Tribolium castaneum: one gene and its partners. Each later gene encodes a partner of the first gene's protein in a complex. Links are inferred from orthologs where the notes say so. Each region holds a gene or a part of one and is shown in the gene's direction. Other genes may lie near its edges.

Region 1 (6,540 bases):
TATTTTAAACGGAAACGATGAGGAGAGTCAAGACAAAGGAGAAGAATTTTATTTTACTCTTTCTAACAATCACAGGACGACAACACGTGTCATCGGGGTTCAAGAATCTGGAGTTTTTGTGAACAAAATGATTAAGTAAAGTAATTAAGACAGATTTTTTAATTGCTCATTTTTTAATTTCTCAGGACATTATCTTTAAACTGTAACAACTATAAAATGCGGAACAACGGGTTTGGAGTGGCCGATGTCTGGAAACACGGAAAACCCGTCAGAGTTATCCGGAATTCAACAGTTGCGAGATCAAAATACGGCCCTGAAAGTGGCTACAGATACGACGGAATTTACAAAGTCGTTGAATATTTTCCCGAAATCAGTAAATTTGACGCCGTTGTTTGGCGTTTTTTGATGAGAAGAGACGATAGCGCAGCTCCACCATGGCTAGTAATACAAATCGACACAATTAGTTTTCACTTGGACCCCAATATTGAATACTTTATGAAAAAAGATTCCGAAAATAAAGCTTTGTGGGACGAATGTAGCAAAGAGTTGGAAAATGGTAAAGCGACGTTTCTGGAAACTGTTAAACGACTGTTTACTTGTGTTTGTTGTCACGAGATTTTACACATGCCTGTTACAACCAAATGCTTGCACAACATATGCCACGTAAGATTGTTTAGTTTTTGGAACATTGATTCAATGGTTTTGGTTCCAGGACTGTCTTATTAATTGTTTCGCTTCAGACATTCATTTTTGCCCAACTTGCAGGACCGATTTGGAAAAAAGTTGTTCGCTGAGGATTAATGATAATTTACAAGCGGCCTTAAAACTCCTTTTTCCAGGAAATGGGTTCAATCGTTGAACAATTTATTGTAGTAGAAATAAATGTTTAACTTTCCCGGCGCATCCACCATTTTTGTCAATGGACCAAAAGTTATTAAAACATGGTTTACATCACTTTTATTTAAAAATTACATAGCGTTGACAACTAGTTTTTCTTTAAACTGAATCATCACAATTAAATATGTAAAAATAATGCTAAAAATGTGGTAAACTGTTGACCTGGTTATGACTACAAATCGGCCCACGTAAAATTTTGGAAAATTAGCGGTCATGTCTGAAATAATAATTTGGTAATTTCTTATTACAGTTTTCCTGTGTAATTTTTGTGCCAAAATTGTGAGTTTTTCTGCCTCTACTAAAACTGAGTCACACAACCATATTAATACGATGGTGCCGCCCTAAAAAACTCGATGTTTTGTGAATGTTTATAAAGAAAAAAATTATTTACCGTGGTCATTATTAGGAAACAGACGTTAGAAATGATGACCTCATCATACTCATTTTTCTCATACAAAAATCCGCTTTCAAAACTGTCATCAAAGTAGTTAAGAATCTGCAAACTTGTGTACACGATTATTAGAAGGAACGGCCATCCAAACACTTTATTAAAATGCTCGGTTGTATTTTTTAACAATCGAAGTGTTTTTTTAATTTTTAATATTTGACAGTCGTGTTTTTTGGACAATATAACACCTACATTTTTGTAACCTTGAAGTATTATATCAAGAACAACATACAATAAATACTGATAGTAAAACAACATGTATGACTGTATTATTTCAATCCCATATTGCTTGAAAAATTCCAATCCCATTACGTCAGTCCATACAAACGCGTCGTAAACACTAACAGTCCAAAAAATAAAAAAAGTTAGAACAAAGCTCGTGTAGTAATTTTTGGGAGCAAATAAACAAATTTTTCCCAGTTCATTGTTAAGGCGAAGCCACGTTTTGCGTCTCCAAAACGATGCCACAACAATAATTAAACAATTAAAGATAAACAAAGTTGCGTCCATTAAAACAGCAATCACAAGTTTGATGTGAATGAGACTCATGTAATCAGATTTTTTGTAAAATGTAGCAAGGGCAACGTTTAGTGTAAGAAAGAGTAAAACTAGCGTGGGAACTACGAGTTTTTTTGATTTAGAGGGCACAATTGCTAGAATTTTGCCCATTTTCAGTAAAAGTGATAACAGGAACATTTTGAAAATAGAGTCAACGAAAATTATTTATTCGGACTATGAATTAGTGGGAGTTCCCAATTTGCGACTGACTTTTTACATATTAAGGCTTATCGATTGATAAAAAGATTAAAAAGTAATTATTAATTAATTAAGAGACCAAAGTGAAGTTTTTTGTCCCCAATCGCTTGTGGAATGTGGGTTGCATATCAATTATTTTTTTAAGACAGTTGTAGTTATGTTCCTCTCTCTTATTCTATGGTTATGTTCGTTTTTTGTCGGCGTTTTAGGTTATAAACAGTTTTAAAATGAAATTAGTGAGTTATTTTAATGCAGATTAACTCAAATAACGTTTCGTTTTAGTACTGTTTGAGTAACGACCCGAACAAGCCATGTCACATCCTTACCTTCAAGGAAATAACTTTAATGTTGGACTGCGGTCTTTCCATGCAATCAGTATTAAATTTCCTCCCTTTATCATTTGTTGCCTCGAGTAAATTATCAAACTTACCAAACTGGATGCCAAACGACGTCTCTGATTCAGATTTGGAAGGAGTAGATAGAGTTAAAATCGAGTAAAGTAGCAAAATAAGTTGAAAATTTCAGGAATTGAAAGAGAATGGGGACCGCATTTTTGTCGACTCACCGCCGGAATTTTGCCCCCCTTTAAACAAACTCATAGATTTTGCCCAAGTCGACGTTATCTTAATTTCGAATTATTTGTGCATGATGGCACTGCCATTTATCACAGAAGGGACTGGGTTCCAAGGTAGGGTGTACGCCACTGAGCCCACTCTCCAAATCGGACGACTACTACTCGAGGAACTCGTTAATTACATTGACCAGTGCCCCAAAGCCAGTTTCGCAACCCAGTGGAAAAATCTCATTCATAAATTACCCTATCCTTTGAGCGACTCCTTCAAGCCCAAATCCTGGAAACAACTCTACAACATGAACGACGTCAATGCGAGTTTATCGCGCATACAGATGGTGGGCTACAACGAGAAAATTGTAATTTTTGATTCATTCCGCAACAATAAATAACTAAATATTTGCCAGGACGTTTACGGGGCTTTGAAAGTGATGCCTTCAAGCTCCGGCTTTTGCCTCGGCTCCTCCAACTGGATCATCACCTCCGACCACGAAAAGATCGTCTATTTGAGCGGCTCAAGCACCCTCACCACCCACCCCCGCCCCATGGACCACCACTCCCTCAAAAACGCCGATGTCTTGATCATGACAGACCTCACACAAACCCCCATCAGTAACCCGGACTCGATGTTGGGCGTTTTGTGCGTGGTGGTGGGGCTCACGCTACGTGGGGGAGGCAATGTTTTAATCCCGTGCTATCCCACGGGAGTTGTCTACGATTTATTTGAGTGCTTGTCGGTGAAAATGCAAGATTTGGGCGTTTCGAACTGTCCCATGTTTTTCGTGTCTCCAGTGGCTGATACTAGCCTAGCCTACTCTAATATTTTAGCCGAGTGGCTTTCGTCGGTTAAACAGAACAAGGTGTATGTGACCGAAGAGCCGTTCCCGCACGGACTTTTGGTCAAAAACAACAAACTTAAGCATTTTAAACATGTTTACTCGGACGGGTTCAGCACGGATTTCCAGGAGGTTTTTTTTAAAATTTAGTAGCCAAAAATAGTTGAATTATTTTTAGCCCTGTGTTGTTTTTTGTGGGCACCCCTCCTTAAGATTTGGCGATGTTGTACGTTTTATCGAGTTGTGGGGCAATAACCCAAGGAACTGCATTGTTTTTACAGGTAATTACATTTAAAATTTTTTGTTAATAAAATTTTTTTGCAGAGCCTGATTTCGACTACACCGAAGCCTTAGCCCCGTACCAGCCCCTGCAAATGAAAGTGGCTCACTGTGCCATCGACACTTCGCTCAATTTCACCCAAGCCAACAAACTCATCAGGGACTTAAAACCGAACACACTTGTGGTCCCTGAATGCTACACTCAGCCCCCAGTTTCGGCCCCAAACCTGACCGACTATGTTATTGAAAATAATCACGACCGTACATTAATTCCGTACAAATGGGGCGAAGTGATTAACTTGCCTTTGAAGCGGAAACATAGTCAGATTTTTATTGAAACCGGAGTTGCTCAAAAAATTGTGCCGGTGGAAGTGAAGCCTGGGATTAGTTTATCGAGTATTACGGGGACTTTGAGTATTAAAGACAACGTGCACAGCATACAGGTGAGAAAAATGATAAAGGAAAAAGTTGGTAGGTATTTTTTAAGGATTTGTCGTCCAGTGTGAATAAGGCGAGTAAACACGTCAAGTATGAGTGGGGGAGTTTGAATGTGACTGATTTTTTGCAAAAGTTGAGTCAGGAGGGGATTAGTGAGCCGAAGGTGGAGTCGCATGGGAATGTCGTTGTTATACATTTGGTAAGTTCATACTTACCGGTTTAATTATTTATTTTATGATTTTTTGAAGCAAGAGGAAGACGCGTTGATTCAGTTGGAAGACAATAGTACGCACGTGGTGTGCACTGGTGACGAAACTTTGAGGACAAAGCTGCGCAGTATCGTTATGCAGTGTTTGAAGAAGTTTTAGTCAGGCGTTTAAACAATTTATTACATTGAATATCGTATTTCACATGTATATAATATGTATGCAGAAGTAGACAAAGATGAAAATACTTGTATTTAATACTTGCACGTGTTTTTCCAAACACCCTGCACTTATCAAACACAAAGTTACAATTGTAAATTGTACAACAGCTTACGAGATAATATTACAGTAAAAAGTAATAAATATAGTATATTTTACAGACATGTATATATGGTGGAAGAAACAAACGCACACTTTACCTCTTGATTGTCTTAAAAAAAAGTAATTACAAATATATCAAAAACTACACACGAGAGTAACTTATGAGAAATTTACACAGTGTATATATTAAATAATACAGGCACGTTTTTTGATATTTCTGGATAAAGTAAAACACATGGAATGCTTAATAAACTTATTCAAATAATTCACAGCTTTCTTCATAAAGTATGTACAAAATTGACTGATAAAAGACAGCCAAATCACATTTCTTGAACATTGTAAGGTCTGTCTAACGTATTTAAGCAAAATCACCCTGCCTGGTTTCGTGTCATACAGTGAGAAGGTTTAAATGTTCAGTGGTTTAGTACAGTAGGTAACAGTAAAGGGCAGGCAGCGCCACCGCGTTATATTTTTTTTATTTCAATAAATAAATTAAATATTAATTTATTGCGACAGACTATCAGTGTCCACTAGATTATAAAAAAAAGACTAAGAAAGTTTCAACAATATTGAGGCTTTCCAGATTTTTATGAATCAAATGTAATTCTCAACAACCGTTTTTAAAAAATAAATAATTTTTTATTAAGGGTTGGAGTTAGTCCCCCGTTAATTTGTTATTTATTTTGCGGGTGTGCTGCCTGCGGGGTCCGGGAGTTAACAGAACGCGACCAACCCTCGCCTTGGCAACATTATGTGACCGCCTTTTCGTAGGAGGGCGGCGGGGAATCCCGTATAATTTGCACGGTTTCGGTATCATTTTGCGAAGGCAACATGATGGCAATGTGGTACGGAGGCGGCGGCAATTCAGCAGAAGCGGGCGGCATGAGCGAGCTTGGCACTTGGTTGTGAGTTTCCTCCTGGTCATTAACGGGGGCCACGGCCACGCTCTCCTCCTGTGGCGCGTTCGCAGTCGCCGTGATCGCTTCGTACAACGAGACTAAACCTCCAATTATCAAAAGTATTACCAAAAGGGAGCAGAAAGCGAACGCTTCCATCCCAATGTTGACCTGAAATAACAATCATTCCGACACAAATTATGGCGTTATTTTTTACCCCGTGAAAGTAGTATTTGGCACCAGCTATAAAGAACGTCACTATTGCGAAAAAAACCCACACGCCGCATTTGAACTTGGCCGTCGGGGTGGTGTGTCTCCGAGGGGTGGGCGTGTGGATTTGCCCCCCTGTTATTATTTCCAGAGAGCGCCCCATTTGAGTGTTGTTGCGGACGCTCGTAGCTGCCCCACTGAAATTTTACGTTAGCACGTTTCTAAAGCAAAAATTCGGTACTTGTAGTGGACAGATGGCTGGCAGTGCAGGGGCGCTCTGGAATGGTACCCCGAAGACCGCGCGTATCTCAAACCATTGTTGGCCACACTCTCAATAGACTGAAAGCGATGTACTGGAGTTACCATCGGTTTTGGATGAAAGCCGCTGCACACAAATCTCGGATTACGGCCGTACCCTTTAATAAAACACTCGCCACTTTATTTAAACAAACCCAAACTCTACCATAGAATGATGGAGGCACCAGTCGTCTGCCACTAAACCCACATCCTTGACTACGTTTGTCAATCCAAAAATGCATGTGTAAGACACACACTGCCCCTAATTTATTATTTTCTCGTCGGGTTTAACAATTTCGTCCCGAACATCATCTTGTTGAAAGCACAATCAATAAGTTGGAAGCCTAAAAATAACAATAACAACTAATTTTGTACCAAACAATTT
Region 2 (6,549 bases), on another chromosome or scaffold:
ACATTGTTCCGACAACTAAAAGGCCATAATTTTATTTTTAAAAAACGTCTTTTTTATTGTTGAATTGGTGGTCAAAAGGGCATTGTGTGACAAAACCGATTTTGGGGTGAAATGGGGCGAAAACTGCAACAGTGCATTTGCGGAGCTGGGCAACATAACAATTTTTAACATTGTTCCGACAACTAAAAGGCCATAATTTTATTTTTAAAAAACGTCTTTTTTATTGTTGAATTAGTGGTCAAAAGGGCATTGTGTGACAAAACCGATTTCGGGGTGAAATGGGGCGAAAACTGCAACAGTGCATTTGCGGAGCTGGACAAGATAAATTTTTTTAACATTGTTCCGACAACTAAAAAGCCATAATTTTATTTTTAAAAAACGTCTTTTTTATTGTTGAATTAGTGGTCAAAAGGGCATTGTGTGACAAAACCGATTTCGGGGTGAAATGGGGCGAAAACTGCAATAATGCATTTGCGGAGCTGGAAAACATAACAATTTTTAACATTGTTCCGACAACTAAAAGGCCATAATTTTATTTTTAAAAAACGTCTTTTTTATTGTTGAATTGGTGGTCAAAAGGGCATTGTGTGACAAAACCGATTTTGGGGTGAAATGGGGCGAAAACTGCAACAGTGCATTTGCGGAGCTGGGCAACATAACAATTTTTAACATTGTTCCGACAACTAAAAGGCCATAATTTTATTTTTAAAAAACGTCTTTTTTATTGTTGAATTAGTGGTCAAAAGGGCATTGTGTGACAAAACCGATTTCGGGGTGAAATGGGGCGAAAACTGCAACAGTGCATTTGCGGAGCTGGGCAACATAACAATTTTTAACATTGTTCCGACAACTAAAAGGCCATAATTTTATTTTTAAAAAACGTCTTTTTTATTGTTGAATTGGTGGTCAAAAGGGCATTGTGTGACAAAACCGATTTCGGGGTGAAATGGGGCGAAAACTACAATAATGCATTTGCGGAGCTGAACAACATAACAATTTTTAACATTGTTCCGACAACTAAAAGGCCATAATTTTATTTTTAAAAAACGTCTTTTTTATTGTTGAATTGGTGGTCAAAAGGGCATTGTGTGACAAAACCGATTTCGGGGTGAAATGGGGCGAAAACTACAATAATGCATTTGCGGAGCTGAACAACATAACAATTTTTAACATTGTTCCGACAACTAAAAGGCCATAATTTTATTTTTAAAAAACGTCTTTTTTATTGTTGAATTGGTGGTCAAAAGGGCATTGTGTGACAAAACCGATTTTGGGGTGAAATGGGGCGAAAACTGCAACAGTGCATTTGCGGAGCTGGGCAACATAACAATTTTTAACATTGTTCCGACAACTAAAAGGCCATAATTTTATTTTTAAAAAACGTCTTTTTTATTGTTGAATTAGTGGTCAAAAGGGCATTGTGTGACAAAACCGATTTCGGGGTGAAATGGGGCGAAAACTGCAACAGTGCATTTGCGGAGCTGGGCAACATAACAATTTTTAACATTGTTCCGACAACTAAAAGGCCATAATTTTATTTTTAAAAAACGTCTTTTTTATTGTTGAATTGGTGGTCAAAAGGGCATTGTGTGACAAAACCGATTTCGGGGTGAAATGGGGCGAAAACTACAATAATGCATTTGCGGAGCTGAACAACATAACAATTTTTAACATTGTTCCGACAACTAAAAGGCCATAATTTTATTTTTAAAAAACGTCTTTTTTATTGTTGAATTGGTGGTCAAAAGGGCATTGTGTGACAAAACCGATTTTGGGGTGAAATGGGGCGAAAACTGCAACAGTGCATTTGCGGAGCTGGGCAACATAACAATTTTTAACATTGTTCCGACAACTAAAAGGCCATAATTTTATTTTTAAAAAACGTCTTTTTTATTGTTGAATTAGTGGTCAAAAGGGCATTGTGTGACAAAACCGATTTCGGGGTGAAATGGGGCGAAAACTACAATAATGCATTTGCGGAGCCATAAATATTGAAATTAGGTGAAAAAGTGGGAAAAATTAAAAAGCAATTTGTGGTAAATAATTGAGTTTTTCGCTATTAGCATAGTGACTTTCTTAAAATGTCATTTTTAAGAGGGTGTTTAGTGTTTTTTCGGATTTTTATTTTATTAAACGGTTTCAAAGCTGACAACCAAACATACATCTAAGCAAACTGAAACTTATTTTGCTAGTCTGAAACTGGCTTCATGTTCGGGTCTCTTCGGAAATTCGAGGAGCTGGTTTTGGGAGCTGTCTTCACACAAATCAAAACCTGTTAGTCTGTGCACCAACACCATAGAATAAGAGAGAGATGGTTATTGAAAAATGGTTGGTGCAACTGGCAACTTATCTCTTATCTGTCAAAATTTTTTTCTTGTTTTGACTGCGAAAAAACCAAAATTGTTGCATTGTTTGTGATAATTGGTCCACCATGGATCGGAATAAACCGGGCCAGAGCCAAGCCACTCGTGGCCCCAAGGCCAAAATAACGCAACAACCCCCTGACTTGTTCATCGCTTTGGGGGCCAAACAATCCTCCCCTCGAGATGACCCCAAACGTAGCGTTCCGCTCCCTAAAACCAGCACTGCCTCCCATTTACAAACAAGTAGCAGTAAAGTGACGGATAAATTGAAGCGTGAAGGGACTTCGTCTAGTCTTACAGTGCCCCCTTCGAAGAAAATGAAAGTTGCGATACCGGGAAGCCGGCCAGGGCCCTCCACTAGCAGCATACTACCTGTGGAGAGGATGGGGGTTGAGCCGTGGGAAGCCCTGGCTGTGGACTGTGAGACAAGCGATTTGTTCGAGAGTATTATGGCGGCTGTTAATGCCGGCAATACTGATAAAGCTGTAATTTTTTCTTGATTGTGTTTAGGGGTGAAATTAATTGGTTGCTTCAGGTTGGGTATGTTTTGGGGGTCATTCGCTCGTTGAAGACTCAAAGGACTAAGATTTGTAAAGTGGTTTATCTGAGTCTTTTACTGACTTGCAGCTGCAAACCCCAGTTATTCACTAATGAGAATATCATAGCGGCTATTGTGAATGTTCTGCGGCGTGATGTAACTTCCGGTTTTAAGGGCGTTAACAAAACAAATTCTTACTTCCACATGCTGTTTATTAATTTATTAACTCACGCCTTCACCGATGTCGCCCAATGGCCGGAAATTTTCGTCAAAGTAAGTCGGAAAAAAAATTAAAAATGTTTCAGAATCACAATTATTCGTAGATTTATGTGGAGGACGCGGTGGCCGATCGCATTTTTATCGACAATCCGTACTGTAAACCATTCGTTGATAACATAATCACGGCGTTTAACACCAAATTGCCCCCTTCCTCGCTCCTCAAATCCGAGACATGGAATTCCACGGCTAGAGACACTTCTAGCCCCCTCACAATCACAAGCGCTGACGACGACACCAAAAGCGAAGTGATTCTCGAGCATAAAGCCGCAGTTGAAAACTGGAACGTCAAAGTGTATCCCCGGTTCACCCAAACGCAGGAAAACGTCGAAAAAATCGTCCTTGAAGCCATCAAGGAACAACTAGCAAGGCGCCAACAACCGGAAACCATCACGAAAAACTTCGTCCGCTTCTTGAGTATCGCTTCAGGACTTGTGGAAATTCGCATAATTGCCGTTTCGCGCATCGAGAGTTGGCTACACAACCATAAGTTGATGAAATCAGCGCAGGAACTCCTCGCCTATTTGTGCTACAATTGCTCGGCGAGTTCGCAAAGAGACTTGGAAATAATAGCGCAGCTGAGCAAGCTCAGACTGAAGAACAAACCCATGGTTAACTACTTCAACAACTGTCTCCGGGAGATGGTTTACTCGTTCCCGGAGAACTTGTACCCCCTTTTGAAATACACGATTTACAACGAACTGTCCAATGCCCGAAATTCCAACAATTTAATCGTCGTGGGGGCCCTGTTTCAGGTCGCACCTGAGGCAAGTGCCGACGCTTTCGCCGACATTTGCCTGGTGAGTACACCGATAATCAAAAACAAATTGCATTAAAACTGTCCCCAGGAGTTGCTCCTAAACAAAGACGATTATTTGCGTTCGCTGCGGGCGCTTTTGAAAGAAATCACCCGAGTCCTCCGGCACGATTTCAACTTGTTAAGCATCGTGCATTCGCTCGTTCGCGAGCGCAAAGAGTTTGCGAATAACGTGCGCGAGTCGGAATTTCGCGAGCGAATTTTTCTATCACTGGCCGACCTGGTCTGCATGTGTATGCTGCTGTGCGTCAGCCCTCAGGTCCGCGACGCCTCAACGCAAAACAAACGCGACGTCACGGTCCTGAAAGCCTTCCAGAAACAAGTCAGTAACATACAGCGGGAGGCAGTGACTTGGCTCAACGACTCCGCGCTAAGGGTTTTCCGGCCAAGTCTCAACGACTTCCACCACGTTCTACTCAAAGTCTTGTTCCTCGAACAAGCGGAGCATTACTACAAGGTCGACTCGTGGCCTGGCGAAAACGAGAGGAACTTGTTTTTGAGGCTTACGAGTGAGGTTCCCTTGCTTCAGGCGACTCTTTTGAGGATTTTGCTGATCGGGAACTCGAAAGAACACCCGATTAGTCCCACGGAAGCGATTGAAATTAGCGATCAGTTGATTAGAAGGGCGGCGAATTTGCCCCAAGACTGCGCCCCGCCCTTGGTCGTTGATAATTTGGAGATAATCGGGATTTATTTCAACTTGTGCAGCTATAATTATCCGGAGAATATCACGCTGCCGGCGGGGTATGTGCCCCCCAGTTTGGCCATTTCTGGGCTCTATTGGAAAGTTTGGCTCATTTTGCTGATCATAGCGGCTCATAATCCGGTCACTTTTGGGAACGAGGTCTGGAACAAATACCCAACGTTGCGCATGTTCATGGAAATGTGCATAACAAAGTTAGTATCTCTTGAAGGTCAGGATATGAAACGACGTACAAATAAAACCGTTGTTCCATCACAGTCAGCTCAACTTTTCTACATTTTTTTCCAAATAATTTGTGAATTTTTACTATATTTTTTGAGTGCGATTTTGTATCTCGTTTCGCTCCGACCTCCAATCCCCGTATACTTGACCCTAACTATCCCCATTTTAGTCACTTTTCGTTTCCCCCGCCCACCATGACCTCCCTGGACGAAGACTACCAGTCCCGCGAGCAGCAAATCCTCGCCCTTGAGAAGCAAAAAATCCTGGAATTTGAATCACACCTCGCGGCCGCGAGCACTAAAATGGAAATCACCGAACAGAGCAGTCTCCTATTGCCCCAATTAATGGAGTTGCGGCCTGAGGGCGAAGCCCGAAGGCCCCCCCAAGCCGTCCTCGACCAGCTCCAACACTTGAACAACACGCATCGCATGGGACATTTATTGTGCCGCTCGCGGAACCCCGATTTTCTATTGGACATTATGTCGCGGCAAGGGGGCACCGCGCATATGCCGTGGCTGGCCGAGCTGGTGCACAATTCGGAGGGGGCGTTGGCCCACCTGCCTGTGCAATGTCTGTGCGAGTATCTCCTGTCGACGACACCGACGGAGAAATTGACGAAACATGGCCAGCTTTTGGCGCATTTGCGGACGGTGGTTAATGAGAATGATCCGCAGACTGCCTGTGAGGTTTTGGAGTATTTGTTCAGGCGGTTGACGTCCGATCATGGGGCGAGTCGGACGCAGGCCACCAAAGGCTTGAATTTGATTTTGGCCGAAGGGGAGGAAAGCGAGACGAATAATACGAACTGGTTGACGAGTTACATAACACATTTTCCACACTTTACGATGATTAAACCAGTGCTTATACAGTTTTTGCGGCAAGCCTTGCAAATTGAGACAAATCCGGCGCGGGTTTCGAGTTATATCAATTTTTTGGCAACGCAGGATTGTAACGATTCGTTTACGGAACTGCACGAATTAATCGCCGATTTATCGTCGGTTATTATCGAGAGACACAGCGTGGCTTCGTACGTGTTGCCAGGGCCGGACAACCAAACTTTGAAGCACCTTTTGACCATTTTTGCGAGTCATATTCAGAAAGCGCAGGAATTCTCGGAGGATATTTACAGTTCGGTGCAAAACTACAGCGAGTATGTTTTGGTGACTTGGGTGACTGGGGAACAATGCCACATGCAGACTTTAGTAATACACGCAGCTATTGTGTTACTGACTTACGGTCCTTTGGAGAATTTTGAGCCGTTCGAGACTTTGTTAAATTTTTGGTTTCCGGCGAACGCCGAACAACCACAAGCCTACACACCTGATACAAACGAACGAACGTCGTATCTCCCTGATTGGATGAAACTGCGGATGATTCGGTCAAACGTCCCACGATTGGTTGACGCAGCCATTGAAAAATTAGAGCCGCCAAAGTTGGTCCTTTTTATACAATCGTTCGGAATACCGACAAATTCCATCAGTAAATTGCTGAGTACTTTGGACAAAGCCACACTTTTGGACCCGAAACTGGTCGTGGACTCAGTTTTGGACAAAACTTACATGATTCAATTGGTGGAAGTCCAAAACAAAAGAGGCGCAGTGGGTGGTGACACCTTTGTCAAGGCTATCGA
Region 3 (5,388 bases), on another chromosome or scaffold:
AATTAGCGTTTTCATACAAATTATAAAACTAATAAATTCAAATGATCACATGGTACAGACAACTCTTCAAAATACCTCAAATAAAGGTATTTTCAACTCTTATTAGAGATTGGAAATGTGCCATTAAATTTTTAGATAATAATGTAATCTTTCTAAAAAGAAAAAACTAAAGACTGACCCCTAAATCCGGATTGTTTCCTTTTTTTCTCCCTTGAAATCCTATCCAGTAGCATACACTAACCACAATCAACACACACTAGCCAACGAATTGTGTAAGAATATGGATAACACGTTACCAGTACAAAATATACTATTTGAGATAACTAATTATTACGAGGTGGAAAACAAAGAAGTTTGTCTGATTCACTGATTTTTGTTACGCCTACGTCACTTTTTTTTTGTTAAAACTTATTTGTTGAGCAAAAATTCCAGAGAAACCATTTTAACGAAATCTTAATAAGTATTTGTAATTACACTATTCTAATACACATTTAAAATAAAGGCAATTTTTCTGTATTTTTTTTTAATTATTTGATTCTTGCTTCAAATTAAATTGTCGTTTTATTGTGCAAAATTTTAAAACTGACTTTTACACCTGTCGCCCCCTAATAGTTTAGTCCTCCGTTACCCAGGAAGAACAAAAAACAGTCGTATTTTTAGCTACAAGGAGAAACTGGAGACTGAAAGAGCGGACGAAGTGATTTCGGCCCTCGAAACTTTAATTTTGCTTTTGACTTTTTCGAACGACAAACACCCAAAACAGCTCAAGCTGGCACTGAAATGTGCTGTTCGACTGTGCGAAGCGCGGAGAGAATATTGCGAGACGTTTGTGGAACTGCTCGGCACTCGCCTCGACAACATACACAGTATGTTATTTCAATTATGGTTCAAGAACAAATCAAATCGATTTTTTACAGACGACTGTACCATCGTCATCTGTGAGACTTTGGGGGCTATTGGGGGCCTCAAACCCGACACTTTACTCTCGCTTCTCGCCAGTATTCTCAACTTATTGCGCGCTTTATCCGAAATCGACCAACCAACGGAGCAACAAACGCGCATCAAAATCATGCTTTGTACGCTGGTTTTCCAAAGCATGTCTGACTACACCTGGAACGAAGAAACCGAAAGTGCGATTTTTTGCGTTATTGAAAATAACAATCTGTGGGCGAATTATTGCATAGCGCGGGCTGCGGTCAGATACGGCCACCACAAAATCGCAAATACGATTTTCAACCAACTGACGGAACAAGTCAGTTCTGAACATTTCCATTTCTGGTTGGTTTGTTTGAAGGAAATGTCGGAAGCCGAGTCGTTTTTACTCACTTCGGACGATAGTTTGGTAAATCGCTTGGAACGGGCGATCATACATTACAATAAAGCCATCGCGGCTTTGAAGGTTCCTGTTTTACCGACTTTTGGTTTGTGATTGTTACGCACTGTTTCAGGCGGCTAGTACCCCCTCACATAATTTACAATTCCAAGCGGAGTATATGCGAATCCGTACAGAGTTTCTCCAGTCTTTGATCCAACTCATTTATACTTGCAACACCCTGTGTATAGTCCCGCCGCCTGCGATTGCCGCTACTATCGTCCAAAACACGCGAGATGAGTATCAAAGACACGGATATATCACGAATCAGTTGAGAAAGTGTGTGAAAGAGTTTAAAAATTGTGGCGACCTCTACTGGAAGCTGTACCAAACTGCGTTCGACGCTGACCCTGCCACCTTAGAAAATATGCAAATGTGTGTTCGTTTGTTTTTTTCTGTACATTTAGTTATTTTTAACGTGTGTTTTTGCAGTTTGCAACAAATGTGTGTGCTTGTGGAGCAAAGCGTGGAAAGTATTTGTGTCAACGGATCAAAAATCCGTGACGATCCGATTGAATTCGGATCGCGTGAAACACGTCTCGAATCGCAACAGTTGACAAAAGCTTGTTGCAATGCTTTAACAGTTGCGCACGCTCTTGATGATGGCTCTTCAATGACTACAATAACGCACCGGGTACTTAAATTCGCTTCGTTTTTGTGTGTTTTATTTAAAATTGTAGCACATTGAGTTGTTGAAGAAAATCTGCGAAGTGTTGTCAAATGCTTCGTTGCCTATTCCACGGTATTTCTTCCAAGTTTTGCAATGTACCAGCGTCAAGTTGGCCATTTCACCCCAACCTCGCGTCATGGGTGAATTCATAAGTGTCCAAGCCAATTCCCAGTTGGCTGTGAAAGTCGAAGGGGTGATTCAACACGGCATGAAACCGGGGCTTTTCCGCAAAATCGAGGAGGTCATAGTCACTGTGACCTCGCAGATACAGAACAATTCCAAAAGCAAGGATTTGGATAAGGTGGGTCTACGGATATCTAGAGATCAGGATACGACATACAAATAAAATCCCCATCCTTGATAGTTCTGTCAATGTCAGTAGAGGGCGCAGTTCCATTACCGTGAATTCGAAAAAAATATTACTCTCTACCCCATATTTTTCAAAACGCTGCGAATGGTTAAAGATACAAAAAAAATGTTAGGAAGAAATTTGTAGAAAATTATATATTTCCATTAAAAAAACACGGGACGGGCGCAAATTTTAAATAATTTGTTTCTTATGAAAATTTTAGTCGTCAATTTTTCTCAGTCTGTTAAGAGCACTAAGCTCAACATTTCTTTTTTTTCCAAGTAATTAGGAATTAGTTGGATTGAAATAAACTTAAATTTTGTAGAATTTGGAGCAAGTGGCGGTGCTGACGCAGTCCGTGACACCTCACAAGGACTTTTTCACGGCGCAGTTTCTGCTGGCGTTCCCCAAAGGCGGCCAGTACTTGCTGGCCGTCGAGGCGTCAGTCGTTGACGAAGAAAATAACACTTGGAAGACCGGTCCTAGGTCAACCTTGACCGTGAAAGTGCCCGAAGAGGCAAAATTAACACCGATTTCGGTGCCGGGCATGGCGTCAAATGCCAATGTGTAAGTTTGGCGAGACTTAGATTAAGTGGACGTCGTTTTGTTCTATTGTGAATTTTTTCGGTTTTTTCTTTTTTTTAGAATTTTGATGCCTGAGGATAACCTTTTTCTAAGACCTCATCAGAAAAAACCCTAAGTAAGTAATTATTTATTTTGGCGCAATTTTGTAACAATAAACAGTAACAAACGATAGATCAGATTGCTCCCACCCGTATTTCCGTATCCTTGACAGACTCCTCGAGCGTCTTCAATACGATTGGCTCGCCGAAGTCACTCTTGCCCCCACTCTTGCTCACGAGAGATATTTCACCAATCACAATGTCGTGACTGACCGACTTGCACATATCGTAAACAGTCAGTGCCGCCACACTGACAGCGGTCAAAGCTTCCATCTCGACACCAGTCTTGCCAACGGACCGCACACTCGCCTCAATGTCGATGTGTTTCTGCTCGTAATTGAGCTTGACGTTGACTTGGACGTTGCTAATCGCAATATTGTGGCACAAGGGAATGAGTTGGGACGTTTTTTTCGCCCCCATAATGCCAGCAAGTTGTGCAACGGTCAAAACGTCGCCTTTTTTCGCAGTGACGTCCCGAATTAAATCGCACGTTTTGTAATTGACCCGGACAATGCCCCGAGCTTTGGCTGTCCTCACAGTATCTGGCTTCGGGGTGACGTCCACCATAGTGGCCTTGCCTTCGGAGGTGACGTGACTGAGCTTGGTTGAGTAGGCGCGGGCCAAAATGGGAGCTGGAACAAAAATTTTTTGTTATATTTTTGGAAAGTCAAAAATTATTCGGTCCTACAGTACCTTAGAGATATATCAACTAAATTTATTTTTAGCCACCGATTAGTATCATCGGCCGGTTTTCCATCTGAGAAAGGTTCAGCATGCCTGTAATTATATTTAATGCAAGCGGTTCAAGCATGCAATTTTTGTACCTGCATGCTGCTTTTTTTTCCTTTTCACAGCCGCGTTTACTAAAGCGATTAGATCGTCTTCACTGCAACCACTTCGTAGTGCATCTCGTAATGAAATTTCAGTGTTTCCAAAGAGGCAAACTTTAAGATTCCCGTCAGCTGTGATTCTTAAGCGGTTGCAAGAGCCACAAAAGTGCTCACTCATCGATGTTATAAAACCTACTTGTCCTCGAAATTTTGGTACCTTCCAGGCCTAAATAATCAACGGTCAAAATTGTTTTTATTTTTGCTTATTGTATACTTTAGACGTATCGTTTGGTTTGTTTTCAAGAGGGTACAAATCGGGGTATTGTTTTTTTATCACAGATAACATATCTCGATATGACACTAATTTACTCAAATCCCATTTATTTCCCGTGAACGGCATGTACTCGATAAATCTTATATCGACGTTTCTATCTTTGGTAAAACCGACAAAATCGATTATTTCGTCGTCATTGAACCCTAAAACTTGGTTAAAGCAGCCAATAGAGGGTGTCTAGTACCTTTCATGACGACACAATTAATTTTAACAGGGTCGTACCCCAACTGTAGGGCCAAGTCAATCCCCATCATGGCCCTTTCCCACCCTTTTCGTCTCGTAATAAACTCGTATTTGTCCCGCTTTAGGGTGTCTAAACTTATATTAACTATGTCTAAGCCTGCCCTTTGTAGGGCAACCAACTGACGTGTCAGAGTTAAACCGTTTGTGGTCATCGCTACTGTTTCAAGCCCTTCGATTTTTTTCAAATTTTCTGCAAGGTTGTGTGAGTGAAGTGCCTTTTTTCGCGGCTTTTTACCTATGATTGCGAGCAAATCTCTCCGTACAGTGGGCTCACCCCCCGTTAGTCTGATTTTAGTCACTCCTTCGTTAACAAAAAGGCGTGATATTTGAATGATTTCGTCAGATGTTAGGATTTTTTCGCTCGGGGATAGTTTGACCCCTTCTTCAGGCATACAATATTGACCTACATTTTTTTTTGTTTATTTTCTATTTTAGAAATTTGGAACTTACATCGTAAATTACATCTCTCACTGAGTGATATTCGCAAGTATGTGTGGTTTCTCCCAAATAAGTCTGTGAGCGGACTTTCTACCTGATCGTTGACCTGTAGGTAAAATTAAATAATTTTTGGGCGATTAAAAACGAAAAAAAACCTTGATTTTTCCCTTATTCTGAACCGCCTCGATGGACAATTGACGGCACTTTTTTTTCACTAGGTTTACTGTGCGTAAGCGAAACATTTTAATTTTTTGTAAACAGTGCACTGCTCACGATTATCACTTCTCTTAAGTTTTTGAGATAAACTCCGATAGCATTCGAGTGACTGGTAGTAACGAAAGTAAACACAATTAGACTGGAATGACCTTGCATATATGTATTTGTTAACACATTTTATACTCCTTCCATACAAATACAAGTGACACAGTTTAACAGGTTTCACTTAATTTTATAGACAAAAAATGACGCA
Region 4 (6,424 bases), on another chromosome or scaffold:
TTGTTTCGCGTTTATGCAATTGGAGATAATTCCGAGGGTTTGTATGGTGATCCCCAAATACAAGTCCAACCAACCACTGGCCAGAGAAATCGATTCTCCATCATTGTCAATCTTTGTCGTCAAATAAACGGAAACGATGAACGAACCCAGCGATAAAACAACGCTAAAACTGGTCAAGTAAACACAAGGGACGAGTTTTTCCAAACGGTGGTGTTTCTTGACCGGTAGTAGTGCGAAAATTTTGGAAATTAGAACCAAACTATTGATGGACGAATAAAGCGACATTTTCGTACTTATTACTTTATTGTGTTGGCTCAAGTGATTAAAAATTGAACTGGATCAATATGACCAAGTACGTGGTCAGGGCCGCAATCATCTGAAATTTGCCTCAAATTGGTTAATGTAATTAAGCCACTTGTGGCTCACCATGTGACAGAACGTCCAGTCCAAATTGAAAAAATCCTTCGCAGTGAATTGCAGTTTGGTATTGAGGAGCCTAATTGCGACCAACTGCAAGTGTCGCACCCTTTTGTCCACCTCGTTTTTGAGGGCGTACTTGTTCCAAATTTCGTGGACAAAAGTGGCCGTTTTGTTGGCGCTTTGTTGCGTTCGGCTAAACATTGCCACCATCACGAGCAGCCAATAGAAGCAGAAACATAAGTAAAACAAGTTGAAGGTGTAGATGACTACAAGAGTGTCGGTGTCTTCCTGTCTCGACCTGATGTGAATGAAGAGATACATCGTATCGATCACATAACCGAACCACATCACCATGGCCGTGATTGTGGTGATTTCAAACAATCCGCTGATTTTCACCGTGAAATTGGCGAGTTTGTAGTGCAAGTGCGACAGTTCTTGGATTTTTTGCACGCTGAACGTGACTTCGTCCTCTTTCAAGTTTCTCACTTTTTCGGCTTTGGTGAGCGGGAAAATGACGAACAGATCAACGGATTTGATCTGGCGCCGGAAGTGCTGGTTGATTTGCTCGAATTTGTCGCAAATGTCGCTGAGAATGTCGTTGAGGAAGAGGTGGTCCAAAGCGTTGACCACCAGAGGGACGAAACTGAACAAGTTGTAGCTCACATCGCTTGGCAGAAACGGGTAAAATAAGACATTGCCGGTGATTAAGGCAAATAGGCCACTTCGCACCCAATGGTTCGAGTTGCGTTCTTTGGGCTTGATTGAGTAGATTTGGATCGATTCGAGGTTTGATAGGAGGGTTTTTAAGTCGTTGCTGCGTTTGTAAAACATTACCATGGACGTTAACATGGCCAGGAAGCCGGTGTAACCGGCCATTTGGTCGATGTATTTGAAAATTCCGGAGAGTTTTCGGGAGTAGGTTGTGTAGATGTAGGAGAGGTAGAAAAAGTAGGAGTAGAAAGGGAGGCACAAGAAACGGGACATGAAGGAAAAGTGGGCGCTGATGGGGAATTGGATGATCCCGAGGAGTTTATAAAGGAGGGTTAAAGGGAGCGGAGTCTTGGGAAGGAGGGGCATTTTTGGTTTGGAGTGTTTGACAAGTAAATATTTATTGAGGACTAAATACGTATTGTTTTTGTTTGAAAGAATCAAGTAATTAGGCTGAGTGGATGAGTCTAATAATAATAACTTGTTTTTTATTTGGCACATGGTTACCTAGTATATTTGAATCATTTAACTCAAAAAAGTTAATTTTATAATCGGAAAATGTGATAGTGCGGAGAAAATTCACAAGGTATAGAAACAATACAGCATTGTTGTTATTTATGAACAATTTACTTGAGTGGTTGGATAAACTAGACTTGAATCAATAAGTTACGTTCCCCTACTTTATCACAATGTATTTGTTTGAAACACTCCCAAACTACATGATATTTGTGTACAGATCGTTGGGAATCATCCAGTTTTGTCCCAAAAATTCACACAAAATCGTAAAGATATCTCCCACCGTTCTTTACGTTTGTTTGCAGCTGTATTTTCTGTATACTAGTGTTAAATTTTCCTCCGATTACATGACTCTGGGATTCACTGGTCTATTCCACTACCTCGACTTGCTATCAACCGTTGGAACGGTTTTATCAATGCTAACATCACTCGTTATGTTTCGCAAAAGGAGCAAGCGACTCAAAACTTTACTTGAGCAAACCGACAAAATTGAAATTTTTCAAACAAATGAAAAGTCGCGCTTGAGTTGCATACAAATTTTGCTTTTCGCCGGTATAGTTGGCTTAATTTTACTAGTGCCGTTTTCGAATTCTATGATTGATTTATCCTTTTTTTACTTCATTCCTTTGTTCATCAATATTTTTGATCACATGTTTTTGTGTGATATTCTCAACTTTATTTCATCTAAATTTGGTTCGATTAATCACCATTTGCGCCACCAAATCAAAACAGAGGATGAGGATATTAAAACGAACATTCGACGAGTCCAAGAATTGTCGTTTTCTCATTACAATTTGGTCGATTTGACCAAAAAAATCACAAGACTGTTCGAAATCACAACATTGGCTGCGATGGGAATGTGGTTTGGGTACATGGTTGATGGTAGTTACTACACACTGCATGTTCTAGTCCATGGTAGTCCTTCTTTTTGGACAGATGTCGGTTTTAATTGCATGTTTGGCGTTTTGCATTTTTTTTGGTTGTGTTTTGTAATAGATGGATTTGCAAGGACTCAAAATACGGTAAACGGTTAGATTTGTGGCAAGTGATTGCGTTAAAAGTGTTTCCAGGCTAATTTAGCTGCAATCTATCTGCACGATATTTGGAATAAGTATTTGGAAAGAGGGAAACTTGACAGAAATGTACGTTATCTTCAATTGATTTCCATTCGGTTTTACAACACCAAAGTGCGCTTTACGGCTATGGATTTTTTTAGTCTAGACTGGACGTTTGGGCATTTGGTAAAAATCAACAAGATTTTTACTTTTTTAGGGTTTCTTTTAGATGATTGCTGCAGTTGCCACCTATGTGGTAATCTTAATCGAAATTGAGATATAATTTTGGTTTTTCCAAAAAAGTGCCATAGGCAACCAGTAATTCACGTCGATAGTGAATTTAATAGTAGATCAATTGAACCAGACGTTAGTTTAATTCTTGAAATGAAACAAAAAATGGGTGGAAAAAACTGTAGACAATTTTGTAATCAATTAAAATTTTATTATCACTAATAAGTACAGTTGAATAAGTTAATAAATACATTATGTTTTGGAGTTAAAAGTAAAAAATGAATTGTGGTAGATCCGTTGCCTGCGCCACTGAATGACCTACTCGTAACGTAACCTCAAATGCTCTGCTTAGTTTTTTGGTGTTTTTAACCCTCTAATGCCGGATATCAAGATAACCCCTTTGGGGGCCGGCCAGGACGTGGGCCGCAGCTGCATCCTCCTCACAATGGGGGGCAAAAACATAATGTTGGACTGCGGCATGCACATGGGGTACAACGACGAGCGCCGCTTCCCCGACTTCTCCTACATATCTCAAGAAGGTCCCCTTACCTCCTACATCGACTGTGTAATTATCTCCCATTTCCATCTGGACCATTGCGGGGCTTTGCCCTACATGTCCGAAATGGTGGGTTACTCAGGCCCCATCTACATGACTCACCCCACTAAAGCTATCGCCCCCATTCTCCTGGAAGACATGCGAAAAGTCTCAGTTGAGAAAAAAGGTGACCAGAATTTTTTCACGTCCCAAATGATCAAAGACTGTATGAAGAAAGTCATTGCTGTGACTTTACACCAGTCTTTGATGGTGGACAACGAGATTGAAATTAAAGCGTATTATGCGGGACATGTCCTGGGGGCTGCCATGTTCTGGATACGCGTGGGGGCCCAGTCTGTGGTGTACACCGGCGATTACAACATGACCCCCGACCGGCATCTGGGGGCTGCCTGGATTGATAAATGTCGCCCCGATTTGTTAATCTCCGAATCGACATACGCCACTACCATTCGAGATTCGAAACGTTGTCGCGAACGCGACTTTTTGAAAAAAGTCCACGAGTGTATGGACCGTGGGGGCAAAGTGCTAATCCCCGTGTTTGCATTAGGACGTGCCCAAGAACTTTGTATCCTTCTGGAGACATACTGGGAACGTATGAATCTCAAAGCCCCCGTGTACTTTGCCCTAGGACTCACCGAAAAGGCGAACAACTACTACAAAATGTTTATAACTTGGACGAATCAAAAAATCCGAAAAACGTTCGTGCAACGTAACATGTTCGATTTCAAGCACATCAAGCCTTTCGACCGTTCGTATATTGATAATCCGGGCCCCATGGTGGTTTTCGCCACACCTGGGATGCTCCACGCGGGGCTGAGCCTCCAAATCTTCAAAAAGTGGGCCCCCAATGAGAACAACATGGTCATAATGCCCGGTTTTTGTGTCCAAGGCACCGTGGGCCATAAAATTCTGAATGGGGCGAAACGAGTCGAATTCGAAAATAAGCAAATCGTGGAGGTGAAAATGTCCGTTGAATACATGAGTTTCTCGGCACATGCTGATGCCAAAGGCATCATGCAACTGATCCAACATTGCGAACCTCGAAACGTTATGCTTGTCCACGGCGAGGCCGAGAAAATGGAGTTTCTCAAGCAGAAAATCCTCCAAGAGTTCAGTATTAACTGCTATAACCCCGCCAATGGCGAGACTTGTGTTATTTCAACACCGGTCAAAATCCCAATCGATGTTTCGTTGCCGCTGCTCAAGTCCGAAGCGAGGAAATTCAGCGCTTTGCCGCCGGACCCCAAACGGAGGCGCACCCTGCACGGAGTGCTCGTCATGAAGGAGAACAATGTGTGTTTGATGGACGTGGACGACGCGTGTAAGGAGGCTGGGATTAATAGGCATATAATTCGGTTTTCGTCAACGGTTCATTTGAATGATACAGGGCCGGCGTTAGCAACGGCCCATAAATTACACGGTTTCATTAAAGAGAATTTGCCACAATGGCCGGTGGTGTTCGCCGAAGGCGAGATTTCAATCGAGTCGGTTCTGGTCAAGGTTGAAGGCGATGAGGACGAACAAAAGAACGTCTACGTCTCGTGGACCAATCAGGACGAGGATTTGGGCAGTTATATATTGAATTTGTTGAATCGAATGGGACAATAATTTATTTTTGTTGAGATTTGGTGTTTTATTTACCCCCAATACACGAAAATTTAAAAGAAATTGTTTCAATTTATTGTGTACGACTTTAGGGGTGACTATCAGAAATTCCCCCACTGTCAAAAAGAGTGCGGAGTGACTTAATAGTTATTTATTTAACGAGTTTGAGTGTAAATCGGCATGAGTGGATTATTAAACCACGAGTGAGAATGAGTTGAATACAACAAATTGCTTTAAATCTGTTAAAAATAATTTGACGTTTCGTATTGAAAAATGCCAAACATTTTGAGTGTCCAAGAATAAAAATTAAAATAAAATAAAGCTCTGAAATTGAATTGCACCGAAAATAAGTGCAACTTAAAATTTTCTAAAACTTGTTTTAAACTAAATCGTACTTTGGGTGCCACTTAAATAGCGCTTAACATCAAAAAAGCAATTTATATGCACAATTTGAAAACGGATCAGTGAGAAATTGCGTTATTCTTAATTTGTATAATGAAAAAATTAGTTCAAACAACCAAACGACCCTCTTATATGCCGCCGCACGAATTCTAAACCACCCTCGTATAAAATAATTTTGTGTTGGCGCGCTTTATTTCCACTGAATACGTCACAAATGTCACCAGATTATTGATTTTTTAATACGGGGCAGTTCTAAAAGTAATTAAAATTAGAGTACATGTTGTGAGAAGTGTTTTGATACTCGTAAATTTAACTTTACGCTTTTTGTCTAAAATTTTTTAAATTTGGAACGCTTATTTGACTCTAAATACATTACACCTCAAAGCAAAAAATTTATTCTGAACTATATATGATCGACACACAATTTATTGCGATTTTTAGGTTGGTAATCTCACAAATTTTGATGCTAAAATTAGTTTTAGCGTATTTTGATTGCCACAATTAATGTTTTAGTTTTAAACTTGTCCAAAATAAGTTAAAAGGTGACAAATATGACATTCTACAAATCGAAGAATTAATTTTCACACAACTAGGAAGTTTTATCCATAATTTACAACAAACGCCGCGGTACAAATTTTAAACCACCCTCGTATGAAATAATTTTGTGTTGGCGCGCTTTATTTCCACTGAATACGTCACAAATGTCACCAGATTATTGATTTTTTAATACGGGGCAGTTCTAAAAGTAATTAAAATTAGAGTACATGTTGTGAGAAGTGTTTTGATACTCGTAAATTTAACTTTACGCTTTTTGTCTAAAATTTTTTAAATTTGGAACGCTTATTTGACTCTAAATACGTTACACCTCAAAGCAAAAAATTTATTCTGTCCTATACATGATCGACACACGATTTAGTGCGATTTTTAGGTT
Region 5 (4,572 bases), on another chromosome or scaffold:
CCTGTACGAGGACTGTCGATTGGTTAACGCCCACATTTTGGCCGCGTTTAACCGCAAAATCAAGTTGTATAGTTCCGAATTTTTATCGGAACTACCAATCAAATACTTGCTACACCACGCCCAAAAAGACCAAAGCTCCTATTCGGGTCTTTTCGGGCCGTTGCTCAAACTCCTAGCTACGCATTTCCCCCACTTGACACTAGTGGAGGATTGGTTGGACGATATGTCCATCAAAACGGAGCATAAGCCAACCCACGTGACGCAAATAAGCGTCATTGAGGCTTTCAATGACTTGGACACTAACCCATCAAAGTGTGCCAAGCTTATGCAAACTTTACTCAAACAGCAAGCCATAGATATATGGCCATTTGCCGAGATTTTCACACAATTCGCCCGCAAGATCCTAAATGACAATGTCCCACGCTACTTACAAGACCTGTACAGAGACGTATGGTTACGCTTTAATACGGTACTTCCCCGCCGATTGTGGGTTCTAACCGTCAAAAACCTAGTCGATGATTTCTCAAACCTGACACGAATCGATGTCGCTGAGGATCCTCTCCAGATCATGCGATGCGATGAGCGTGTTTTTCGCTGTGCCCCTTTATATGCGATTGTTTTGAGGGTGTTGAGAGCAAGTCTCGCGTCGTCTCGCAGCCAACTAATGCAACATTTGCAAGCTAATCCGAGATTGGATCATGCGGGGCAAGTTTTAAATGAGAGTGATAGAGAGGAGATGTGTCGGGCGACCATTGCAGCACAGGAAAGTGCAGCTGTTCAAATGCTACTAGAAACTTGTATTGAGACAGATGAGGATCGTACGATTGGGGGGCAAAAGTGGGCACTTCAGGAAGTTAGGTCGTTGGTTTGTAGTTATCTACACCAGGTTTTTATCGCGGATACGATGTTGGCCAAACTGGTACACTTTCAGGTGAGTGATTGTGTACATCGCACTCGATATGGAATACACAGCGTGTTTCGTCTAAACCCCAAAGTTCTAATAAAGATATTTATCTGAAAGTTGGTACTCGGCCAAAATCCGTTGAGTTCAGTTGAAATGAAAATCTTGAAAATATTTTCAAGATGGTGGCACTTTTGGTTATACCGGAAGTTACTACTAACTTTCTTATTTTAAATGGAAATCTATGTTTTTTATTGCGTTTTTGGATTAGTTGAGTTATTTTAAGGCCGTTTTTATCAGCTTTCCCTATACCTAAGTTTAACCGTTTTCGAGATATTTAAGATTTTTTGAAAATTTTTGGATTTGCACCTGTCACTTAAAAAGTCGGTAACTCTTTTAGTTTTGAAGATTTAGAAAAAATGTTTGGAGAATTAAAAGACAAGGCTTACATCTGTCCTCCGGTGTGTTCAGAATTGGAAAAGAAGTTAACAAACCCAAAAATTTTAAGCTTAAGTTTGGACAACTTCAAGTACCCGTAACTTAATTTTTTCAAATGGGATGTCCTAATTTTTATTTTACTAGATGGAGGAGAATTTTTTTCTGCATCGATCTGTATTAGCATTCCCTATACCTATCTGTGATAATTTTCGATTTATGTTGGTTTTTTTGACATTGTAGAAAGTTTCTTACTAACCACAGCTATTTTTGCTCAAAATTCTGTTGTCCTTAAACCCATAGACCAAGCTCTTTACATCGCGCTCGATATGGAATATATTATTATGTTAAGACCAATAATTTAATTCGCACGTGTGAATTTAAATAATCATATTTATTGTGTTATTACTATATATTTAATATAGTTTTTGACGTTTATTTCAGGGCTATCCAAGCGAGCTGATCGAGGTGATGGTCAAAGGCGTGCCCTCCATGCACATCTGTTTGGATTTTTTGCAAGAATTAATGCAACAGCCAAGTCTCGATAAACAAATTTTTGCGATACAGTTGTTATCACACTTGTGCATACAATACGCGCTGCCCAAAAGTTTAAATTTATGTGTGGCAGCACTGAATCTACTTTACGCCCTACTTGGAAGTACGTTTTTTTTTTGGTGTGAAAATTTAGCAATTTTGTTTTCTTAGGTTTGTCGAGTAGTCAAAGGGTGCGCCTATTTCGCCCGATTTTACCCGCCTTGGTGCGCATAAGTGAAGCTTTCCCGCCATTGGTTGACGATATCGTCAATCTAATGATGCAATTGGCTAAGGTTTGCAAATCACAGGCGTCGCTAGCGTCGCATTTTGACGTCCACTTGGGCAAAGAGTTGGAAGTTTCAGCCGAGGAAAGCAAGGAGTTGTGTGTGTTAGTACAGGAGACGTTTAGTGATATTTTGGATAGGGCTGTCTTCAAATCGAAGATTTATAAGCAGGAATAAAGTTTGAAAAAAAAGTGAATGCGTTTTTATTTATTTGTTAACTTCAAGCACCCATAACTAATTTTTTCAAATGGGATATCTCAATTTTTTTCTACTAGATGGAGGAGATTTTTTTTCTGCATCGATCGGTATTAGCATTCCCTATACCTATCTGTGATAATTTTCGAGTTATGTTGGTTTTTTTGACATTGTAAAAAAATTCTTACTAACCACAGCTATTTTTGCATGGTTGGCTATAAAAACATTTCTGATTAAACAAACGACAAACTCTGTCAAAATTGTGTTGTCCGTCCTGCGAAAACAAAATAAATTCATTAAAAAAATTTAATTTCTCACATTTTTTCCATGTCAACCTATGAGAAAAAGCTAATGAATTTCTCAATCCTACAACTGCAAATTTAGTTTTAACAGATAATTAATTTCTTTATAGCTTTGTATGTGTAATAAATAATTTTTTGTGTGCCTAAAAGCCGAAAAAATCGTGCAACGCTCTAAATAATTGAAAATGCGTTTTTTTCCCGCCAATGATGTTTGGTTTAGTGGCGCCCCCCCCGGTAAAACTTGGTGACTTTGCGTTTGTCCCCACGTCAGCTTGACCACCGTCTGCCGTCATCGAACGGTTTTTATTGACAATTGCTGGTCGTGTTGTAAAAATCGTGCAAAATGCGGCTTTAGATCAAAGTATTTCCTATTCTCCCGCTTCCAGAGTCGATTTTGAGCGTTGTATGTGCGTTAAGGTTGGGAAAATCGCCACGGAATGGATTCAAAACGCAAACTATCGTAAGTGTCCACCTGTGTGTTGGGAGTCGGTGTGGGAAAGGCGGCGTTTTCTGTTTAGCACACAGGGGGATTCCCTGTACCAGATCTTAGCACTGCCCAAGACTGCGACGTCGGAAGAGATCAAGAAGACCTACAGACGGCTAGCGCTCAAGTACCATCCAGATAAGAATCCCAACAATCCGGAAGCGTCCGAGAAGTTTAAGGAAGTGAACAGGGCACACTCGATTCTGAGTGATCCGACGAAAAGGAACATTTATGATAATTACGGCTCGTTGGGGCTCTACATTGCCGAACAGTTTGGGGAAGAGAATGTCAATGCGTATTTTGTTGTTACGTCGACCTGGTGCAAGGTGAGTGTTTCTTTACCAAACAGTTTTAGGTAATCAATGGGTTTTTTATTGGCTGAAGATCAAGACGCGTATAATTTCACTTTTTTTTATTTTCCTGCTTGCTTGATTTGTATTGTGACTAATAAGCGTGTCAGAGATTACTTTGTTTATTGAAATTTATGCCCACACTTTATGGCGGCTTAAGATAAATAACCATTATAAGTTTCTCAGTAATGTTTCATAGAAATATTAAAAAAAAGAAAAAACGCAGAATTTCTAACAAGTTACTAGTTTTTAGTTTAGTTATTTTTTCCTCAATAACTATTAGTCGTAACATAATGTTCTCTTCTTATAAATAGCGATAATAAAAAGAGTTTTTTAACGATGGGATTTTCACAATTATTGTGAAATTATTGGATAAATAAACACTGGTAAATTTTTTTCTTTTTTTTTTTCTTTTCTCAATTACGCAAAACTATTCCAGATAAATTCGTTAAGAATTATCTCAAAAATGACAATATTTTTGACCAAAAATTTAAGTTTTTTTTTTGTTTTTATTAAACTATAATGAAAAAATCACCAAATTTGGTCAAAAATGAGCGAAAATTTACCTTTTCTAAGCAAAAACTTAATTGTTTCGCATAATTTCTATAAAAGTAGGCGAATAAATTACAAAATTATGTCAAAAATGATATAATTTTTGCAAGTTTTGAGAATTTAAACACGTTTTTTGACCAAAAATTTAGTTTTTCTGTTTGTTTTTATTAAACTATAACGAAAAAATCATCAAATTTGGTCAAAAATGAGCAAAAATTTACCTTTTTTGAGCAAAAACTTAATTATTTCGCAAAATTTCTTTAAAAATAGGTGAATAAATCACAAAATTATCTCAAAAATGACATTATTTTTGCAAGTTTTGAGAATTTAAACACGTTTTTTGACCAAAAATTTAGGTTTTTTGTCTTTTTTTATTAAACTATAACGAAAAAATCACCCAATTTGGTGAAAAATGAGCAAAAATTTACCTTTTTTTTAAGCATAAACTTAATTATTTCGCAAAATTTCTTTAAAAATAGGTGAATATATCACAAAATTATCTCAAAAATGACATTATTTTTGCAAGTTCTGAGAA

What was found.
Region 2: IntS9 (region 1) and IntS1 share a complex: the UniProt entries of both Homo sapiens proteins name them as parts of the integrator complex. The link is inferred for Tribolium castaneum from reciprocal best matches to the Homo sapiens genes INTS9 and INTS1.
Region 3: IntS9 (region 1) and defl share a complex: the UniProt entries of both Homo sapiens proteins name them as parts of the integrator complex. The link is inferred for Tribolium castaneum from reciprocal best matches to the Homo sapiens genes INTS9 and INTS7.
Region 4: the proteins of IntS9 (region 1) and IntS11 are in contact, whole or in part, in a cryo-EM structure (PDB 8RC4), measured with the Homo sapiens proteins. The link is inferred for Tribolium castaneum from reciprocal best matches to the Homo sapiens genes INTS9 and INTS11. Residues at the interface, in NP_060720.2 of Homo sapiens: Glu127, Gly198, Tyr199, Ser200, Gln201, Lys202, Tyr231, Glu338, Phe339, Ile342, Phe343, Glu345, Gln352, Lys354, Val355, Tyr356, Leu357, Pro358, Glu359, Pro360, Pro361, Arg511, Arg512, Tyr513, Glu514, Lys515, Ile516, Glu517, Ile518, Met519; in NP_060341.2 of Homo sapiens: His94, Gln97, Ala98, His137, Leu138, His139, Gln140, Thr141, Lys274, His277, Tyr278, Lys280, Leu281, Phe282, Ile283, Pro284, Trp285, Arg291, Phe294, Ser449, Pro450, Ser451, Ile452, Pro453, Val454, Gly455, Ile456, Ser457, Leu458, Leu461.
Region 5: IntS9 (region 1) and IntS2 share a complex: the UniProt entries of both Homo sapiens proteins name them as parts of the integrator complex. The link is inferred for Tribolium castaneum from reciprocal best matches to the Homo sapiens genes INTS9 and INTS2.

What each region holds. Positions count from the first base shown.
Region 1 is NC_087399.1:2,706,650-2,713,189, reverse strand, and holds IntS9 (integrator complex subunit 9), read left to right. Parts: upstream 1-2,225; 5' UTR 2,226-2,328; coding exon 2,329-2,337; intron 2,338-2,383; coding exon 2,384-2,575; intron 2,576-2,626; coding exon 2,627-3,031; intron 3,032-3,079; coding exon 3,080-3,640; intron 3,641-3,686; coding exon 3,687-3,789; intron 3,790-3,832; coding exon 3,833-4,230; intron 4,231-4,274; coding exon 4,275-4,424; intron 4,425-4,473; coding exon 4,474-4,593; 3' UTR 4,594-4,691; downstream 4,692-6,540. Other genes in the region: E3 ubiquitin-protein ligase UHRF2, read left to right, coding at 1-135, 186-663, 713-859; uncharacterized protein LOC103314074, read right to left, coding at 5,502-5,819, 5,866-6,055, 6,100-6,274, 6,322-6,397. UniProt on the Homo sapiens protein: Component of the integrator complex, a multiprotein complex that terminates RNA polymerase II (Pol II) transcription in the promoter-proximal region of genes.
Region 2 is NC_087397.1:1,925,831-1,932,379, reverse strand, and holds the start of IntS1 (integrator complex subunit 1), read left to right. Parts: upstream 1-2,389; 5' UTR 2,390-2,431; coding exon 2,432-2,848; intron 2,849-2,898; coding exon 2,899-3,174; intron 3,175-3,224; coding exon 3,225-3,977; intron 3,978-4,025; coding exon 4,026-4,891; intron 4,892-5,088; coding exon 5,089-6,549. UniProt on the Homo sapiens protein: Component of the integrator complex, a multiprotein complex that terminates RNA polymerase II (Pol II) transcription in the promoter-proximal region of genes.
Region 3 is NC_087397.1:6,151,249-6,156,636, reverse strand, and holds the end of defl (integrator complex subunit 7), read left to right. Parts: intron 1-648; coding exon 649-866; intron 867-917; coding exon 918-1,399; intron 1,400-1,448; coding exon 1,449-1,747; intron 1,748-1,804; coding exon 1,805-2,006; intron 2,007-2,052; coding exon 2,053-2,343; intron 2,344-2,716; coding exon 2,717-2,958; intron 2,959-3,036; coding exon 3,037-3,091; 3' UTR 3,092-3,145; downstream 3,146-5,388. UniProt on the Homo sapiens protein: Component of the integrator complex, a multiprotein complex that terminates RNA polymerase II (Pol II) transcription in the promoter-proximal region of genes.
Region 4 is NC_087396.1:21,612,688-21,619,111, forward strand, and holds IntS11 (integrator complex subunit 11), read left to right. Parts: upstream 1-3,175; 5' UTR 3,176-3,306; coding exon 3,307-5,094; 3' UTR 5,095-5,110; downstream 5,111-6,424. Other genes in the region: Gr102 (gustatory receptor), read right to left, coding at 1-285; Gr101 (gustatory receptor), read right to left, coding at 373-1,629; gustatory receptor Gr103, read left to right, coding at 1,818-2,666, 2,715-2,975.
Region 5 is NC_087401.1:16,832,188-16,836,759, forward strand, and holds the end of IntS2 (integrator complex subunit 2), read left to right. Parts: coding exon 1-931; intron 932-1,780; coding exon 1,781-1,994; intron 1,995-2,041; coding exon 2,042-2,331; 3' UTR 2,332-2,352; downstream 2,353-4,572. Other genes in the region: dnaJ homolog subfamily C member 5, read left to right, coding at 3,089-3,111, 3,170-3,461. UniProt on the Homo sapiens protein: Component of the integrator complex, a multiprotein complex that terminates RNA polymerase II (Pol II) transcription in the promoter-proximal region of genes.